Cricetulus griseus: one gene and its partner. The protein of the gene in region 2 binds, or shares a complex with, the protein of the main gene of each other region. Links are inferred from orthologs where the notes say so. Each region holds a gene or a part of one and is shown on either strand. Other genes may lie near its edges.

The links. The genes of interacting proteins can lie anywhere in the genome.
Region 1: Meaf6 (region 2) and Kat5 share a complex: the UniProt entries of both Homo sapiens proteins name them as parts of the nuA4 histone acetyltransferase complex. The link is inferred for Cricetulus griseus from reciprocal best matches to the Homo sapiens genes MEAF6 and KAT5.

Annotation. Positions count from the first base shown.
Region 1 is NC_048596.1:53,746,940-53,750,684, reverse strand, and holds the start of Kat5 (histone acetyltransferase KAT5), read right to left. Parts: upstream 2,746-3,745; 5' UTR 2,731-2,745; coding exon 2,553-2,730; intron 2,237-2,552; coding exon 2,168-2,236; intron 2,078-2,167; coding exon 1,941-2,077; intron 1,681-1,940; coding exon of another isoform or gene 1,654-1,680; coding exon 1,498-1,653; intron 1,409-1,497; coding exon 1,334-1,408; intron 1,027-1,333; coding exon 952-1,026; intron 221-951; coding exon 1-220. UniProt on the Homo sapiens protein: Catalytic subunit of the NuA4 histone acetyltransferase complex, a multiprotein complex involved in transcriptional activation of select genes principally by acetylation of nucleosomal histones H2A and H4.
Region 2 is NC_048595.1:27,970,390-27,974,134, forward strand, and holds the start of Meaf6 (chromatin modification-related protein MEAF6), read right to left. Parts: upstream 2,613-3,745; 5' UTR 2,548-2,612; coding exon 2,458-2,547; intron 1,566-2,457; coding exon 1,450-1,565; intron 1-1,449.

The DNA.
Region 1 (3,745 bases), on a different chromosome or scaffold from region 2:
GGCCATATTTGAGGCAAAATTCGCACAGGTAGAGGACGGGTAGTGTGGTGAGCTCTTGTGGGTACGGGGAGAAGTACCATGGCTTGAGGCGATGCCGGCCAAGCTCAATACACTCTATATTCTTCATCCGGGTGACAATGTCGTCGTGACTCCGGTCAGACACCAAGCTGCCAGTCATGCGTGGTGCTGACGGTATTCCATCTGAACTGTCCTGAGAGTCCTGCCCAAGGCAAGTGAGAAATGGTAGATTCTTCTTTTGGGGGGGGGGGTCAAGACAGGATTTCTCTGTGGCTTTGGAGGCTGTCCTGGAACTAGCTCTTGTAGACCAGGCTAGTATCAAACTCACAGAGATCCACCTGCCTCTGCCTCCTGGCTAGAGAAATGGTAGGTTACAGCAGACAGTTGAGCAGAACATGGCTCACAACCCTGCCACAGGTTCCTTTCTTCAAGTCTAATATCAACTAAGGGGAAAGCATCATAATGCTCATTTTCCAAAATAAACCAAAGGAAACTGGTACTATGATAAAAATTACCCAATAGCTAATGTACCTACCACCTCATGTTCCTCTCTTGAGCCTGCAGGACAGTGGGATGGGAAAGCCTGTTGTCCCATGACTTTCCTGGGGAATCTGTCTATCTACTCCAGACAGACAGAACAAAGACCAAAGAAATGACTCCACCCAAGTGCAGACTTCTTTTTGCTCTCTTTGTCTCTCTCCCCCTCTCCCTAGTATTTCTCTGTGTAGCTCTAGCTGTCCTGGAACTCACTCTGTAGACCAGGCTGCTCTAGAACTCAGATTCACCTGCCTCTACCTCCCAAGTGCTAGGATTAAAGGCATGTTCAACTACTGCCTGGCTTGTTTGCTTTTAAATTAGTCACTGAATGAACTCTCCTTGCTCAAGTCCATCCCCTTGCCCATCTTTCTTCTTCCTCTGCTCCCTGAGACCCACCTCATCAGTGCCCAGGCAATTAGATTTCCTCTTCCGTCCTGGTTGTGCTGCCACTGCCCTACGGGCTGATCCATTCTGTGGATAAGATGAAAGAAAGGGTGACTGAGATGAGCCTGAAGGAGGATACTAGACAGCAAGAAAGATGAAGGAAGGGGAAGAAGACTGGAGGGACGGTCAAGGAGGCTCAGTAGTTTAAGAACCCTGGCTGCTCTTGCAGAGGACATGGGTTCCTTTCCCAGCACATATGGCAGCTTACAATCAACCACCTCTAACTCCAGTTTCAAAGGACCCAATATCCTTTTCTGGCATGCAAGTGGTACACATACATAATGCAGATAAGACACTCATAGGAATCTTTAAAAAAAGAAACTGGAAGACTAACCTGAGGGAAAACTGAGGCTGGGGCTGACTCGCTGGGCACTGGAGTTGCTGGTGAAACCACTTCCACCTTCCGTTTCTGCAGAGAGAAACCAAGAAAGGTGGGTCAGAAGGTAGAGAAGGTGGGACCTGAGAAGAAAGCAAGGTCCCTGGAATTGCTGAGGGTACCGTTGAGCGGTGGTTGGGTTGCAGGCAGGAGCTGGAGGAGAGCGGCTGGTCGGGCTCGCCACCGGGAATGGCCTCCCGCTCCTTGGGCAGGTTGAAGCGGAGAGTGATCTGGACCGGGATTGGCAAAGTCTTCCCGCTGGCCTGGGCGGAGGCCGGCTGTAGAGATAGGTCCAGAGTCTTCCTCTGGGGTGGGGATGGTGGTGGGATGGCAAAGGGGCAGATGGTCCCCTCAACATGGAGTGATCAAATCCCACCCTTTGCCTTCTCTAAAGCAAGGCAATAGTGGACTCTGGAAGCTACACCTGCGATTTTAGCCCCCATCCTTTGCAAGCTGAAGTCATGGCATGAGAATATTGCCTCCTGCTCATTTGGGAACCCCCGAGGCCAAGAGATGCAAGAAGGAAGAGGCAGGAGAGAAAATGTGAAATGGGGGACCTACTCACCACCTCTCTTTCAGGCGAGCCGGGGCGGGACCCAGGAAGTCCGTTCTTGGTAGGGGTCTTAGCCTCTTTCTTGGGGAACTGTATCTTCTTTAAGTCCAGCCTCTCGTGAGTCACCCATTCATCCAGACGTTTGTTGACTGCAGCAGGGGAAATGGCTCAGGAGGGAATGCCAGAGGATGCCCTCAACCCTATCCAGCAGCCCCACTTAGCCCGGGCCCAGGACTCACAATCAATGTAATGGACATAGAAAAGCTTCCGGCCACTGATGTCCTTCACGCTCAGGATCTCAGCCAGGGCTACGGGAAGAACACAGACAGGGGGTCTTAGCCGAGCCAGGTCATGAGACTCCACCCTTGGACCTGGACTCCACCTCCAGGCTGAATTCCTATGCCCCAGCACCTAGAAGGTTTGGCTCAAGACCTCTTTAGTCACCAAGTGACACCTCTCTCCAAGCCCCTCCCGGCTCATCTCCGTACGGTTCAAAGCCACGCCCCTCCTTCCGAGTATCTGCGACTGCCCCAGGATCGCAGAAGCCCCTCCCCCTCCCGTGTTTTCGTTGACTCCCGCCCCTCGCCCTCAGGTTCCTTGGACCCGCCCCCCGACGTCACTCACGCCACTCATCTTCGTTGTCCTGGTTGCGCCGCAGCACGGGCAGGCGGCAGCCCTCGATTATCTCCCCCTGGGGAGACAGCGCGGCGCCAGGGTCGGCTACTGGGGGGCCTCGGGCTCTACCCACCTCCCCTGGCTCCCTCCGCCCCGCCCCGGGCACCGGACTCACCACCTCCGCCATCTTCCCTCCCTCCACTGCCACTTCCGGCCCCTCTGGGAAACGTCACTTCCGGAACTGAGTGCGCTAAAGGCCGGAGCCCCTCGAAACTGCTTGAGAGGAAAACACTTGAGTTACTGCTGTGTGGCTGGTAGCAAGGGGCAGGCCCATTTTAGCAATGGGGGAGCAGGGTGTTGTAAGCCCGAGACCGAGTAATAGATAGAATCCCCACAACTCGCACAGTGATTGGAGGAAAACCGAGTCTGTCACGTGACGCCCACCGGGTGCGACGCGGGTCACGCAATGAAGTGCTTAGGCTCTGACCTGCGGCTTTGTTCGGGCGCCTCGTAGTGGCGGCGGGAAGCGTCGCCCTGAGTGAGAAACTGGGAAGTGACTTCTTTTTTTTTTTTTTTTTTTTTTGGTTTTCCGAGACAGGGTTTCTCTGTGTAGCTTTGGAGCCTATCCTGACACTCGCTCTAGAGACCAGGCTGGTCTTGAACTCAGAGATCCTCCTGCCTCTGCCTCCCGAGTGCTAGGATTAAAGGCGTGCACCACCAGCGCCCGGCTGAAGTGAGGTTTTGAACCCTCACTGGGCAGTCAATGGACCCGAAGACATTTGAAGACCCAGCCACGTGCTTGCACAGCTTTGTACAGCTGTGTGGACTTAGCAAGATGTGTTTAATTTTGTATATTGGGTTTCTCTTTTTTAAAATAATATAAGGCCGCTGGTGGTGCATGCCTTTAATCCCAGAACTCTGGAAGGCAGAGGCAGGTGGATTTCTGTGAGTTGGAGGCCAGCCTGGTTTACAGAGTGAGTTCCAGGACTACACAGAGAAACCCTGTCTCAAAAAAAAAAAAAAAGTATATATGTGGCGCTATAAACGAAGTAGACTGTAATGACAGTGAAGGAGGGGACTTGCTAGGGAGAGAGAGCAAGTAGGCAAAGAGTAAAAGCTTCCGCCAGGCGGGGGTGGTGCATGCCTTTAATCCCAGCATTCAGGTGTCAGAAGCAGTTGTTTCTGAGTTGAAGGCCAGCCTG
Region 2 (3,745 bases):
GTGTTGGCCCTTGCCTTCTACCTTGCTGAGCCAGAATCGACCTTGTTATTCTGACAGCACTGCCTATCCCAGCTTGCCAGCCTACAAGCTTCCAAATGATTCTCCTGCCCCCAACTCCCACCTCAATGTGCTAAAATGCCAGATGTGCATTTTATTTTTATTATTTTTATTATTATTATTTTTTTTTTTTTTTCGAGACAGGGTTTCTCTGTGTAGCTTTGGAGCCTATCCTGGCACTCACTCTGGAGACCAGGCTGGCCTCCAACTCACAGAGATCCGCCTGCCTCTGCCTCCCGAGTGCTGGGATTAAAGGCGTGCGCCACCAACGCCCGGCAAGATGTGCATTTTAAAAACATTATACATAGGTGTGTTTAATGTGTGGTGGGGCAGATATTCATGAGTGTAGTAGAAAGTCTGATCCCCTGGAGCTGGCCGCATAGGTAGTTGTAAGGCACCTGACTTGGGTGCTGGGAATCATCTCTCCCTGCAGCTTTTTAACATAGGTTCTGGGAACTGAACTCAGGTCATCAGGTTTGCACATCAAGTGCTTTTACCCACTGAACCATGCCTCCTGGGCCTAGTTTTACATCTGTGGTTATACAGATACGATAAAATGCCATACAACTACACTCACGTCATGCCAGGATCAGTTGCCTGGTTTTGATAATGTACTACTATAGGTACGTAAGATGTAACCATTAGAGAAAACTGTGTGAAGAACATACAAGACTTCTCTGCTGCTTCCTATATGAATCTGCAATTATTTCAAAATACAAAGCATACATACATGGCTTCATATATTAGAGCTTGCACCCACAGTAAGTTAGCAACTCATGAATACAGGGGAAAAATACAAACTACCATGTATCACATGATCTCAATTTTTCTACAGGTTTGAAAACTTCCCACAAGTTTAGAAATTTTTATAGTATCATTACCAAGTAAATAATGGTACAATTAGCATACAGTTATGGCAAAAGGCATAACTGGATATCACGGTTGACTAAAATCTGGAAGATAGTTAAGTCGCATGTTGTATTTCATTTATACCTACATATGCCTGCACCATGGGCCCGACTTTCCCTAGTCACAAATATGGGCTTTGTCCACGGTTACTCCATGAGACAATGGCAGAGTCAGAATACAAGTTCAAGCTTAGACCTCATTTCACACAATGACTCTATCACCATCTCCCTGCAAAGAGGATACCAAGAACAAACATCCCAAGATATGCAATGGCAGCCCATGCCTTTAAATCCAGAACTGGAAGGAAGTCAGAGGGAAAAGGATCTATGTAACCTGTGAGTCTGAGGTCACCTGAACTACATATTAAGTTCCAAGTTAGCCAGGGCTACATGGTAAGACTATGTTTTTAAAAAACAATACAAAAACCATACAGATAAATATTATCAGGGGATAAAATGGATACTACTAGATTCTGACACTCACTTTTGATTGGTCAGATACCGATCCCAGCCACGGATAATATTGCCATACATTTGAGTGTCTTCCAGGTAGCTTCCTTCAAAAGCATAGATCTGTCTCTCCAAGTTTGCAAGTGTTTCCTAAGTGATGAAAAGAGGGACATGGCGAAGCAAGCATTAACCATGAGCAAACTGAGATCTGGATACAGACTTGTAACGTCAAGCTTACCCACACTAAACCATTTTTGTGGAAGAGTGGAGGTGATGGACCCTTTTATAAATAAAATGGAATGTGAAGCCTGTCCTCAGAAAATGCACACACATGCAAGATTTTACATCTACTTCGTGAGCAGAGATGAGAGAGAATGTAAGCTGTCTCTATTTTCACTCACTAAATGTGTCGCTGCCAGCAGAGACGAGGGTGAAGAGCTTTTCAAAATCATCTTTTCTACATTAACTGCTCCCTCCCTACTAGCTCTGGAAGGGCCGCCCGCAGCGGATGCCGGTTGCTATGGAAACCTGGAAGGGCAGCTTCAGGTGAGCTTTGCCTCCCGGATGCTCGCAGCAAAAGGCGGGAGCCTGGAGGGTTGAGCCACCAGGGTGCCGGCGGCTCCGGGTGCGCGTCACCATTCCAAATTCCCTAGACTGCGTCCTGCGCCTCCGGCCAGCCAGCCCCCTTCCAGGCATCCTCAAATACACCACATTCTCCGGCCATTGAAACGTGCCGCCCGTGCAATCGGCCGCGGGTACCCACCCGACACGCTCCCGAGTCCTCTCCAGGCCGGGGTCTAGCAGCCTCCTTCCCACCCGCTAAGCCCGGCCCGAGCGTCGTCCCCGCCTCCTGCCTCTCGCCCTTCCCGCGCCCTCGCCGCCCCCGCCCGCCCGCCGAGCGCAGGCCGGGAGCCGCGCCGCCGCAGGGAACCGCGCCGCGCCCGGCCGCCCAGAGCTCCGGGACTCCGGCCGCCCAGAGCTCTCGCCTCCGGAGGGGCCTGCGAGGCCAGGCGGGGACAGCGTCCCGGCCCCGGCCACTCACCGCCAGCTCCTGCTTCCGCTTCACCAGCTCGGCCAGCTCCCGCCGGGTGTCTGGGATCTGCGGCGGCGCCGTCTTGTTGTGCATCGCCATGTTGGGCTCAAGCGGCGGCGGAGGCGGCGGCGCGCGACCGGTAGGCGGACCCTGCGCGCTACCGCCGCCGGCCGCCAGGGGGCGCGCCGCCACTGCGCCTGCGCGCGCGGCTTCCGGGCCGCTGGCGGTCTGCGCGCGCGAAAGCAGGCGCAGAGTGGTGCTGGTCCGTGTGGGGTCGTCCTTGCTGTCCTCTTCCCACTGTGAGCCCCTGAGCCTTGCAGACACCCACGGACGCTCACTGCATCCAAAGTCCAGCTGCGGCATAAGCCTGTTAAGTATCCTATGTGCCTTGCCTCAGACAATGCCCTTGCCTCACCACCCCAACTGCAGGTGGGAAATCTGAGCAAGGTCTAGCCCCACCATCCTGGCTGGAGAGCAGATTCCTGGATGGTGGCGCATGCCGTTAATCTCAGGACTCCAGAGGCAGAAGCAGGCTCATCTCAGTTTGAAGTTAGCCTGATCTACATAGAGTTCCAGGCCAGCCAGAGATACAATGTGAAACACACACACACACACACACACACACACACACACACACACACACACGTTTCAAAAGATAGTCGTTGTGAGGATTGTGAATCAGCAGAGCCTAATGGCTCAGGCCTGTAATGGCAGCAGCTCAGGAGGTGAAGGTAGGGAATCATGAGTTTGCAGCCATTATGTTCTACATAGCAGAGACCCTGTCTCAAAAATAAATTAAGGCTAGGCTTAATGGCTCATGCCTTTAATCCCAACACCCTGGAGGCAGAGGCAGATGGATCCTTGCTGCCCTGGAACTCATTCTGTAGACCAGACTGGCCTGAAATTCAAGAGAGCCACCTGCCTCTGCTCCACTAGTGCTGGGATTAAAGGCTCATCCCACCACCACCAGGAGACAAAAGGATCTTTAGCTCTGCTTGAGGCCAACCTGGTCTACATACGGAGTTCCGGGTCATCTGCCATCCAGAGCTACATAGTGAGACCCTGTGTAGGGAAAAAGGGCCAGCCAAAGAAACACACCATAAGCAGAGTCAAAGAAACACACTTTGGCCCTAGAATCAGAGGCAGTGAAAAAAATATGCCCTGGCTCTGAAATTAGCACCAATCTATTCCTGACAAACTAAGCAGAAAACCAACCAATCCCTGAGCAGGGAAAATGAACCAATCTCTGAGCACAAGATCTAGCCAATCTGAGCTCAAGGGACTGAAATCTGACCAA